2 linked regions of the Drosophila melanogaster genome follow. The protein of the gene in region 2 interacts with the protein of the main gene of each other region in a pairwise test. Each region holds a gene or a part of one and is shown on either strand. Other genes may lie near its edges.

Region 1 (7,770 bases), on a different chromosome or scaffold from region 2:
AGGAATGTGATATGAGGAGAGTATATAGGTAAATAATCAAGTCTATCAGATGTAATCTTTTTAATCTTTTGGTTTCATAATTCAAAACAATGGTTTTCTTTTTTTTTACTATGTACAATAATTACTTTTATTGTATTTTGGCAAAAGTCTAAAGCTAACAACTAGTGTATCTATGGGTTTACATTAATTTAAGTGTTGCGATGAAAATTGATTTTGGGATCTAAAACTAGAACAGTGCCAGGAGTTTTGGTGCGGGATCCCATTTACCGAGTCCCCCTAAAGAACAGAACGCTAAGCGACTAGGCGGCTTAACCTACTCCGACTAACAACTAGAATCTAACAACGGATTCGGTTCAGTTGTTGTGCGGGAAACATTGTAGGAGAGACTATATAGTTAGGCTAGATACCGCGTCAAAGTAGTTAACTAACTAGCCATATACATACGTGATATACATATACCTATTTATAATCTATCAAAAATGCCGTCAAAATGGAATTTGTTCTCGAAACTGGAGGAGAAGGATAGGATTCTCTTTTCATCTTCGATCGTTTGGTTTCGGTTTGTTTTGGAAAGTTTTCTTAGGCTAGCTTATTCAGTGGTATCTCCTCAGTGGGATGAACCTGATCCTTTGGCTCTGGTTTGCTAGTGCGGCAGCATTTGGTTTTGATGCCGCCAATATCCTGGCGGCAAATGAGTCCGATGACGATGCCAATCACGGCCAGAACCATGATGCCTAGTGGATTAAATTGAACAAATTAGTCTGGTTTTGTACCGCAAGTAAAAGGTGTATAACTCAAACTATAACTGTTTAGCAAGATGCTTAAAATAGTTGATGTTATAAACCTTAAACCGCAGTTTGTACTCACAGATGAGCAGCGTGTTGATGGCCTCCTGGGAGATCTGCACCTGATTGGTCTGGCTCTCGGCAGGCGGCTCCACGCTGACTCCGCTTGTGCTGGTCTCGGAGCTCAGGATTCCGGCTTTGACCAGCTCCGTGCTGTTGTCCATTTTGCCCCGATTGCGATTGGCTAAATGCGAACAATGGGAGGTGAGCAACAGACACGTTAGCAAGATGATCTACGAGTCATGGGAAATAGCTCACCACTTCTGGGCGGTGCGGGTGTGGCGGTCACTGGCTTTGCAGTGCTGGTGATGCTGGCGACGATGGGCGGATTTGTAATCCCCTTGAGCGGCGGCTCCGTGGGATAGATGAGACTGCCGTTGAAGGGGGTGCCCAGTACGAATTCGTAGCAGCTGATGTCGTAGTTGAGGAAGCTAATCGTGTCGATGGAGGTCAGCAGGCTGCACAGCTCCTCGATGTTCTGTTGTTCCAGTTCCGGCAGCTTCAGTTTAATTATTTTTGTTAGCGGCGAGAAAGCTTTCGTATTGATTTGCTGTCGGAATGGAAAAGCGTGAGCGGGACAACTATATAGACAACTGCGCGATGGCAAACACAGCTGTTTTGGCTTCAGTTGCGCCAACTATCGATAGAGCGATAACTTGTGCTATCGCACTTTTGGCTCGCCATTCTTACCTGTTTAAAATCGTTCTTGTTCAAGCGCAACACCTCCAGGCCACTCATGTTCTGGAACGTCTGTTCCGGCAGTTCCGTCCAGCTGCAGTTGACGCAGCTGAACTCCACCAAGTCGGGCTGGTTCAAGAAGGATCCGTCCAGGCGCTGGGTTATGGTGTTGTTGCTCAAATCGAGTAGCGTTAGTTCCTTGGCCGCCGCAAAGGTGTCGGGATCGATTTTGGTTAGACGGTTGTTGGCCAGCCGCAGGCGCTTCAAACGCTCCGATCCCTGAAAGACCTACAATAGATAATAAGCACATTAGTTACAATTTATCTAATTAGTAGAATTAGCTGGGCACTTACATCCTTGTCTATGCTGCTGATCAGATTGTGATTCAAATTGATTTCCACCGCCCTGGACAGATTGGCAAAATCCTCCGGCCTCAGTTCGGCAATCACATTATGGCTCAGATCGATGATGGCCGCCGTTTTGGGCATGTCCAGGGGTACATGGGTCAAATGGGCATTGGCACACTGAACGAACTTGAAGTCCTCCAGGCAGAGGCAGTTGCGCGGGCAACTGGGCTCCAGGACATGGTTGCTGCGTCGTGGTATATCTGCAAAACGATATTCATTAGCCTTTTCAGTTCGGAATATATAGATTTATGTTATGCTCACTAAATATTGGTCGAAATGTGGTGGTGGTCGATGTGGAGGATGATTGTGGCATCAGTCTATTTTCTGCTGTCTCCGGCGATTCCTCGCCCGTCGCTGTTTCACTGTAGTCATCATCGCCGTAATTAAAGTCCTCGAGGGGATTTGCCTCCTCACTGCCCGCTGGAGCGGCATTTGTGTGGCTGATGCTGTAAGAGTAATCATTAAATTATTTTCCGGTCTCGACTGAATAAACCAACAATATACCAATTTGGTTTTTTCCACGACTTATAAACGAATTCACATTGCTTATGAAGAAAAACGCAGGGCAATTATATGTCAAACGAATGCGCATTTCTGATAGAGCAATTACTGTACGAATTCGTTAAGTGGTTTTACCAAATACCCAAAATTGTCAATATTTGGCTTTAGATTGTCGGTGGGTTCTAAGCGGTACGTGCTTACATCACTCACGTCTTGAAGGCGAACACACCTAGCTAATTTGTCCTGAAAACGCTCTTGACCCATATCGTTATGACCACGCCATAGCCACACAGAAACATTCGTTTTCCCCACTATCATTATACGGCTATTGTTTATGTTTGCTCCGCGAAAGAACATGAATGAATACACTCACATGTGCGAACAAGCCTACATACAAAGTATTTCTCGCTACAGTCGTGGTCACAGCAATAGCCCTTAAATGAATTAAAAGTATTCAATGATACAAGGCTTCTTAATGCAATTCATTAGATTATGCATATATTGTAAAATATATTTTGCCTTTCGTTTTTTAAGAATAAAGTAAAATCAAATAGATATACTTTCAAGCTAAAGAAAATAAAGAAAGCACACATTTCTTTTATTGTAACTCAAGCACTTTTATTGTCTGTAAAGTTGTTTATTTGTTTCTGTTAACTGACCTTACATTTTCGAAACGTACTGTAGCTACTCAGTAAAAAGCACAGATGAAACCAGTTTACTTCATGGCAAAAGAGACAACTCGACCGGTTTTAGTTTACGATTTCGTTTACTCTCACTTTTTTCAGATTTATTTTATTTTTTTGCTGTCATTTGTGACCCCTCTTCATTTTTTTTTTTGTCTGATTCTAAATCGTTCGTTATCCGTGCATTCGGCGACTTCAGTTCTAGTGGGTTGTATTTACTTTTAGAAAAAAAGGTGTAAATTGGCTAGTAGAGTAGTTCAAGTGAGTCTTTTGACTGCCATGTAGAGTTCTCTTCAATTGCGTGACTTTTGAGTGAAGTTTCAATGAATGCTGCTGAGGAGCCTTGTCAATCCTTAAAAGTGCCAAAATGAACAGAATGAACGACTTTATAGAGTCGAGTACTTGAACCGCAAGTGCTGATATGTAGCTATTAATTGGTATATAGTCCTACCGGATAATAAAGATATATTTATCGAACGTTACGAATTGCCTTCAAGCTTCAGCTGCTCGCCGAAGTTAATGGGTATTACGAAAGATCTCTAAACTGTTACTAAGCATGACGACCTAGTCGACGTAATTCCCTTGACTACTTGAATGAAGTGACTAAAATTGGAAGCGTCGCACTTAAAAGCACTCTACTTTGACATTTGATTTCGAGTGGCTGAAAAGGTTTAAAAAGGCCCAAAAATCAATAGAGAAATGGGCTTATGTGCACTGGGAAAATTATACTAGTACTAACATGCAAAGAACGATTAAAGAATTTTATCTTAGGTTTTAAAACTCAGAAGTATTTAAAAAGATTTTTTTTAGGGCAAGAATATAGAATATTTATACATAATCGATAATGTCTAAACCTCGTTTCAGTTGTAAATTAAAAGAAAAATCTGAAAATCGAGACAGTTATAAATTTCTATGTCATTTGCAATATTGCTTGAGATATTGGTTGAGAAATTCAAAACGCTGAGCAAACAATTTGATAAGCAATAACGGTATAAATTATCGGACAACCGGGGAATTGTTATTATTTTTATCAGAACCAGATTATGCGATATGATTAAGTAGAGTGTAAATTCGTGCACCTTATATATATATTAAAGGCGGCAATTAAGAGCGGTTGCCGTGGACTATCAATAAAATGTTGCTGTTTTTTTTTTATAACCCCATGCGTGAGTATTCCATTTGGCATTGATATCTCAGTTGTGGGCGGGTCAAAGTCCCGTTACCCTGGTTCACCTGTCGTTATTTCGTTTTTAGTGAATTAATCACTGCGAATGTTGCTAAACGGAAACTTTGCCCCGTGTCTTCCCTGTTTTTCGTTTTTAGGAAAGGGTCTACTGATTTCTATAAATAAATGGATTACTTATTTTCCAGCCCCATAAGAATAACAAATGTGATTTCTCCACATATCGAGATCTGTAAATATTTATTACAACTTGATTTTTACCTCACGCTTAGCAAAAATATCAGCAGTAATCCAAACTTGTAGTACACGTGCATTATTATGAATTATTTGTTTACTGATATTTGTTTAGCTTTGTTTTCACTGCGTCTTCAAGGCGTCGTGTTGTTTGTATTTGTGTTTATCTCAGGGTTTTCATAGCATTTTCGTCGTTTTTGCCAAACTTGATGTGAAAATTTTCAAGCTGAAAATAGATTTTATTAGGTGTTAGGGGCCTATTTTTGCACCGCTATTCTCGTTTCACTTTGCACTTTTAATATTCATCTGTTTTGCTTTGAAATTACAGCTTCAAAGTTGATTAATGTCCATTTACATTTGCCGGCTTACTTTTGGCAAAAGTAAAATAATTATTTTTCACTCCGCTCGCACAAACTTTTCCACTCGCTGCCGATTCTCGAATGAGCAAAAATTCGCCAACAATTCCCATTCCGTTCGACTGACTGAACAGGTGTGTGTGTGAGAGCTTCGAAGAGCGGCAAATATTATCTCTTTTTCTTTACTCTCACTCTCTCTTCCAAACTCTCTCATGTTAAGTTTAATGTTTAGCCGTGGTTATCTTATCAGTTTTTAATATTTAATTGCTTTGTCTCATACCCTCGCGATTTCTGCTTAGCTTTTAACCAACTTCTGACTTACTAATCGATTATTATCAATAGTAACAATTATGGAATTCATGTTTTCAATGAAAACAGAAAGAGCAAACTCACACTTTAAGCACCGTAAATAAAGGCTAATCGGTTTGGGTAATCCTATCTTAATTAATAAGCATTACATCACATTAGAAATTAAAATTTCAATTGCCATATTTTCAACATAATAACTTAAGCAGCAGATTTGGAAGTACAAAGAAATCTTTAGGACGGCTTGTAATATTAATAAAATTAATTACACACTTGTCTGATTAGAATTAACGCCGATCGTAATGAACTTTGCTTTGGACTTGACTTATAAGTCGGTCGGCCCGCCTTTTGATATGAAAAAAGGGAAGCTTTCACAGTTTATTTACATAATTTGCTGGAAAAATGTGAAACACTTGGCTGGCTGAATCATAGCGATTAAATTGGACGTGATTTGAGTGAAAAGTTTGTTTGAATATTTGTTTCACCGAGTGCTAAGTTAAACTCTTGTTTTAATCCCGTTTCTAGGTCTTTGTGTTGTGATTGCGATGAACAATGTATAGCAGCAGCGTTCTTTTTATCGCCTAGAATATGTTGACCTTTAGTCCACTGCGCTTACTTCGAATGACACGCGTCGTCGTTTTTCTCGATAATATATGTACTAAATTGGGTATTACACTAGAGAGTTTTCTCATCGAATTCTACTGAATGGAGGAGTATCGCGTTTAAATTATACTTAATGATTTGCTAACTTGGCTTTTTGTTGTCGCGCGATAACGTGCGACTCATGCCACCGTCGATTTGAGAATGAGCTGCGAACGGAACCGCAGAAGTTGCGAGCTTAAAAATTGAGTAAGTTGAAATAGAGCGGCTGAAGAGAGTCTTCTCTTAGCTTTCGAATCGCTCTCTTCACACTTGATTCTTCAAAATAATATTTAAAAAAGAAAGAAAAAACAGAGAAGCCCATTAATTACGCAAGTGCATTTTTCAATAAATCGCTGACTCATGGGCACTTGTTGCCGGGAAATGGCATTGCATATAATTTAGAAATTGTTAAAAAGCCCCAGAGGAAGAAAAACCCTCTTCGTTGCGAGTATTCCACCATTTCCTTCAAACTTTTACTTTTATGTTTATGTTTATGTACTTTACATGTCAATGACTTTTTGTTTAATGTTCTTCGCTCTTCGCTTCTCTTCGGCGATTTTAGCGATTTCACAAAAAGCGAGTGCAGTGAAATCTTTTGTCATTTCAAATTGGCTGTTTAATTGCCTAATGTTGCTTTGTTTGCTCATTAAACTGTAAGTGGTCCATATATTTTCTCATGAAAAACAAAAAATCCATAAAAGCGGATAAAAATGTTCGCCGCGCACATTACTTTTGTTGGTTTTTGGTGGTTGTGTTCGTGTGGAATTCTATAGTCATGTCTTCGATTGGCGGCCTCAAGGTCAAAAATCGCAAATCCTTTTAGGCAACTTGCTCAGGCCAAAAATATAACGGCATTTTGGAGAGACAGGGGTTCGTTCTCTTCATTTACATTTTAGCGAGGGCTGCTTACAAAGTTCTCCCATATCGGGATATTCTATTTTCATTTTCAAGTTTTTCAAAAACTTCTTCATGATAACTGATATTCCTTTTTGCTGTTTTCGAATGCTTAGAGGTTTATATTTTATTTGAACATTTTGTTGCCTTTTGTTTAGCATTCACTATCATATACTTTATCAATGGCTTATTATTATAATATTATATTATATTATATATTAAAAGAGAAAATTATTAATTATTCTCAAATGAGTATGGAAAAATCACTGCAGTGAACGGGCATTTTTAAAAAACCTAACTGGTGCTTTACTTCAAAGATTAAAGATTACATGGAAGTGTATTTAAAATTCCAAGTGTAAATTCCCCTAGCATATTCAATATTCTATAGCTTATTTTTACCCCAACTCTTTCTCCGCATCTGCTGACATAAACCGGAACAGAACCTTTGTTGGGCAAACGACAAAAGAAAAGCAGCTGGCTGTCTGGGCTGATCCATAAACATATTTCCCTAATTCCAGTTCTTGATTCAGAAAATTGCCATAAATCATATTCGCTTTGACCTTGCCGTTTTCTATGATTGACTGGGATTTGCACAAAAGTCGAGCGAGCAGCTGGAAGCTAAAAGATGGAAAGACCGACTGAATCAAATCTCGGGACTCTTTCATTTTCGCACTGATTGGACTTAATTCGTTTGCATGGGTTGCATTCTGCTTTTGAGGTCTTTTGGGGTCCCAGAAGATTTATATGCGCGCTGAACTCTTGACTCGTGGGGGTCTCTCTTAATTTAATTTCCCAATCAGCTCCACTCACGCTCTTCATCCTTTCTCTTTACAGTATTGCAATGGCGGCGACTTGGCGGATTATCTGAGTGTCAAGGGGACGCTCAGCGAGGATACCGTTAGACTCTTCCTCGTGCAACTAGGTGAGATTCGAAAATCCTATATAAGGGGTAGCCCTAACTAATAATTGTCAAAGATCAATATAAATTGTAACATTAATATTACTTTAGAACAACGAAATGTATTATAATTAAATATCAGA
Region 2 (4,849 bases):
GACCAAATCGAATCCGAGGATGAGTTAATTTCTCGCAAAAATCTCATCGAGAAGCTTATCGATCGCCTCATCTATCACGATCAGGTCATTATTCCGCTCAAGACATCCACGCTGAAGCCGAGAATTCAGGTACAAAAGGATTTCGTGGAGGAGGACGATCCCCTGCTGGTGGTGCATCCCAACTACGTTGTGGAGTGATCCCAGCCGATCAACAGTTTATTACTATGCCCTAAATCTAGCTGGTTAAGTTTCTGTTTCCGCGTCTTGCTTTTTTTTGCTCACCCAAACAAACAATGTATTTAGGCAGTAAGTTTATAGTTTAGAGACATTATTGAAATCCATTAAGGATTTCTTGGTTCAGTTACGTTCCAAATCATTCATGTTTTCGCCGAAATAAACGTTCATCTCAAGATTCATTTCGTTTTTTGCTGCTCATTAAGAACGGAATGAAAAATGCAACCCAACATGCGCAGTCAAAATGATAGCAAATCCATGTTTTAGCTTGGTTTCCATTCATTTTAATTGTATAGATGCGTTGATTAATTGCCTATGAAATAAAAACGAGGCGCGCAGTGCGATCGAGAGCGTGATAGATACAATCCTACTTCTCGAAGGTGTAGTGCTTGACGCCAGGGCTGGGATATTGCTTGGCGGCCACGGGGCGGTACATCTTCTTGTCATCCAGCCAGTAGTAGAGTGCCAGGCAGCCGGACATCACGCCCAGGAAGCAGGCAAAGTAGTACGCATTGCTGTAGCGTGGCGGTTCGGCCTGCGACCAGCGATCCTCGCTGTACAGATCATGATCCGCCGAGATCTGCAATGGAAATGGATCAGGGTTTGACTCTTTTTTTATGCAGCAGCTGCTGCTAGCCGTTGATGTTGGCGCTTACGGGCTCGTGTTGGTTGCGCTTGTGCTCCGGATAGTCCCAGGGATAGTACGAGTCCTTGGCCTCCACACCCAGACCGTAGCCCAATTTGGGATAATCTCCGTAGCCCAGACCATCGTCCGCATACGGTTTGTACTCCTCCGGCAACAGATAGTACTTCTTGGCCGCCGCCAGGCGCTCCTTCTCCGTCTGTGGATACGGACCCGGCTTGTAGTCCTTATTCCAGCCAGCCACTAAAACGTAAATGGCGAGAAATTCGAATTTGTAGCCATTCGGTGCATGCAAAAGTTACGTAAACAAAACAGTGGGGCAGGTTGCACTGTTGCCAGCGCAGCCCCGATTCACACTTACTGCTGCGGATCGCCTGGCGAGCCACGACGGGATTGGCGGCGCACAGCTTTTGGGCCAAGCACACGGTTTTCACAAACGCCGACATTGCAGGCTTGTTTCCACTAAAAAAAAGTTCCTCTGAAGTTACGATTCCCGAAAAAACAGCTGTTCGCCTGCGGATGGCACACAAACGATAGGATACAGTGCCGCAACGGTCTGCTATCGATAGTTGTAGTTTCAAAAAAAACAAATAGAACTATCAACAGATTTTAAATTTGTTAGCTATGGAATAGGAATTTACAGTTAGTACTAAGGTAACTAGGTGTTTCTTAAAAATGTTTAGGATTTTTGTTTCTCAATTTTTATGAACTTAGGCAGCAATCGTTACAAAGTCGATAAGAACAATCGATGGTCCGATAGCTCTCACCCGCGCATCGAGGTGCTGTTGTTGTTTTTTGTTGTTGTTGGTGTTGTTGTGGTGGGCTCGTCCGTGAAAGATCACTTGCTTGCAAACTTATTTATTAATTACCGACTAAGGAATAAGCATAGAGATGGTGCTACCATTATTGCAACGCTCCACGCTTCGCGGCGTTCAACAAATGACGAAACCCTGGGCCGCCATTGGAAGTTTGCGTCTGGTAAGGATTCCAAGTGCTGTGCAAATTGGATATATATTTTGTAGCGAGATGGCAAAAATATTTTGCCTTATGTAATGCTAGATTCGCCCATGCAGCGGCTAATAACTCCAAAATATGTTATTTTTTTGATTGTAAACAAGGCGCGGCGAGCAGAAATGCCAATGAAAAGTGCACAAATGCCGGCGTTTCGTAATCATTACACAATGGAAAGCGGAGGCGAGCGACTTCCAGGCGCTGGAACGGACGTTCCAATTGGCACACCACTGCGACCACTTGTGGACGAAACTCCAATTGGCGCGCGACTCCAATTGGAAGCCGTCGCATTGATTTTTTCACTCAATTTTCGCAAACGTTTTTTATTTTCATTTCGCACTCAAAACTCAAATCACATGATTGAAAACAAAACAAACTCACGGCGTTGAAAAAAAAAGGGAAAAGAGAGAACCATAAACTCGCGAAACGAGTTGTAATTCAAGAAATTGTGCTAGTCAGCGAATTCTTGTTTTTTTTTTTCGGCAATTGAATTAAAACCGGTTAATTATATATGGTACTAGATGAATGAACGACCACTGTAATACACTACCGATTATTCAGATAATGCTGCATATAAAACATATGTATATAAGACACTAGATAGTAGAGCTACAGTCCGGCGTAAATTCCACCCATAAATCCCGAGGAACAGCGCTGGTCACATGAATAGCACTGGAAATGCAAAAGTTCGAATCAGTCTGTTTTTATAGAATTGCTATTGCAATTATTATGCATACAATATACATATATACACAAATATAGTTCGAGATCCTCGCACTACTTTCGTGCCCCCTGCTGTGTGCACCCCATGCCCAAGTTGGGTCTTTCATATTCAGCGCCCAGTGCTCGGGCATTCAACACCTCCCACCAATTCTGCGGGAAGTTCGCTCGTTGAGAGCGCTCTTTCAAGAATCTGTTCGTTGTACACTCGGCTTTTTGGTTTTGAATCCCCCTAGCTTATCGCCTCTGCCTTTCAATGCCCGAGCACGCCTCAGTTAACATCGAGCAGCAGCCGTCGTCGAGTGGTCGTCCTCTGATTTGTTCACTCTGATTGCCATAGTCTCAATTTGGCTTCACTTACTTACTATCTGTCATATCTGCATCTGAAATGGTCTGCCCCTGTGTTTACTTACTGATAATTATAGCCATTCTTATCGGATTCATTCGCATCGACAGGCCTCCCAGGAGTTTCGCGTGGAGAGCGACACCTTTGGCGAACTGAAGGTGCCCGCGGATAAGTACTATGGCGCCCAAACGATGCGATCCCAGATCAATTTCCCCATCGGCGGAGCCACCGAACGGATGCCCGTAAGTAGTGCCCCCCACTGCCTCCATCTACGTATACATATAATTCTCACGTAAATCTTTCGAAAGTATTTAAAAGTCAGCATTGAAGGTTCAAAAAGCAGCAAGGTCTAGCTAATTACTAAGTAAAATATGGCTTAAATTAAGCTTCTATTACAGAAAGCAGAACAAATGGTGAATGCTAGTTCAATGAGTTTGTTCATTGTAATTCAGAGTCTATAGAAAGTTAAAGTCTAAAAAATGTATTAACTACATTAACATAACACACAAGTATGTTGCGTAAAGTAAAAAATAAGAAGAAAACACATTGAAAGCAACTAAAACTCTCGTTAATCCCCGCCAGAAACCCGTGGTCCAGGCCATGGGCATCCTGAAGAAGGCCGCCGCCGAGGTGAACAAGGAGTTCGGACTGGACAGCAAGGTTAGCGAGGCGATCTCGAAGGCGGCCGACGATGTGATCTCTGGCAAGCTATACGACGACCACTTCCCGCTGGTCATCTGGCAGACGGGCTCGGGCACGCAGAGCAACATGAATGTGAATGAGGTGGGCATGAGCGGTCATTTGTTTCATTTGCACTATTCTCAAATCTCCTCTAACTCTCTAACTCTCAAGGTGATCAGCAATCGTGCCATTGAGCTGCTGGGCGGCAAACTGGGCTCCAAGACGCCCGTGCATCCCAACGATCATGTGAACAAATCGCAGAGCTCCAACGATACCTTCCCCACCGCCATTCACATCTCGGTGGCGCTGGAGCTGAACAACAACCTTAAGCCGGCGATTAAGACGCTGCACGATGCGCTGCGTGCCAAGTCGGAGGAGTTCAAGGACATTATCAAGATCGGACGCACGCATACGATGGATGCGGTGCCATTGACGCTGGGCCAAGAGTTCAGCGGCTATGCCCAGCAATTGGCCTACGCCCAGGAGCGCATCGATGCCTGTCTGCCGCGCGTCTATGAGCTGGCTCTGGGCGGCACTGCTGTGGGTACGGGTCTGAACACACGCAAGGGATTCGCCGAGAAGTGCGCTGCAAAGATCGCCGAGCTGACCAGCCTGCCCTTCGTTACCGCGCCCAACAAGTTCGAGGCACTGGCTGCCCGCGATGCCATGGTGGAGGTGCATGGTGTGCTCAACACGATCGCCGTTAGCCTGATGAAGATTGCCAACGATATTCGTTTCCTTGGCTCCGGACCGCGTTGCGGTTTGGGTGAGCTCTCGCTACCGGAGAACGAGCCAGGTAGCTCCATCATGCCCGGCAAGGTGAATCCCACGCAATGCGAGTCGCTGACAATGCTCTCCGCCCAGGTGATGGGCAATCAGGTGGCGGTGACCATCGGTGGATCCAATGGGCACTTCGAGCTGAATGTATTCAAGCCCCTGATCGTGTCCAATGTGCTGCGCTCCATTCGGCTATTGTGTAAGCTACCTATTACCCACCCTTGGTGGAACGCCAAATCAATCGAATCTATTCCTTTTTGTAGCTGATGGCAGCAGGACCTTCACTGCCAACTGTGTGAATGGCATCCAGGCGAACCGCGAGAATATTGCCAAGATCATGAACGAGTCGCTCATGCTGGTGACCGCTCTGAATCCGCACATTGGTTACGACAAGGCTGCGAAAATTGCAAAGACGGCGCACAAGAATGGCACCACAC

The links.
Region 1: the proteins of ND-ASHI (region 2) and CG42709 interact in a two-hybrid assay, tested with the Drosophila melanogaster proteins (one large-scale study listed by BioGRID).

Annotation. Positions count from the first base shown.
Region 1 is NT_037436.4:12,788,422-12,796,191, reverse strand, and holds CG42709 (uncharacterized protein), read right to left. Parts: upstream 6,001-7,770; 5' UTR 5,810-6,000; intron 4,975-5,809; exon of another isoform or gene 4,758-4,974; 5' UTR 4,612-4,757; coding exon 4,559-4,611; intron 2,377-4,558; coding exon 2,192-2,376; intron 2,131-2,191; coding exon 1,877-2,130; intron 1,812-1,876; coding exon 1,536-1,811; intron 1,396-1,535; coding exon 1,104-1,395; intron 1,030-1,103; coding exon 868-1,029; intron 735-867; coding exon 580-734; 3' UTR 108-579; downstream 1-107. Other genes in the region: Atg1 (Autophagy-related 1), read left to right, coding at 7,564-7,651.
Region 2 is NC_004354.4:6,676,762-6,681,610, forward strand, and holds ND-ASHI (NADH dehydrogenase (ubiquinone) ASHI subunit), read right to left. Parts: upstream 2,358-4,849; 5' UTR 1,856-2,357; coding exon of another isoform or gene 1,769-1,855; exon of another isoform or gene 1,663-1,768; intron 1,500-1,662; exon of another isoform or gene 1,437-1,499; 5' UTR 1,324-1,436; coding exon 1,239-1,323; intron 1,121-1,238; coding exon 891-1,120; intron 815-890; coding exon 602-814; 3' UTR 501-601; downstream 1-500. Other genes in the region: Mcm6 (minichromosome maintenance 6), read left to right, coding at 1-198; Fum1 (fumarase 1), read left to right, coding at 1,769-1,855, 3,065-3,196, 3,537-3,737, 3,807-4,611, 4,676-4,849.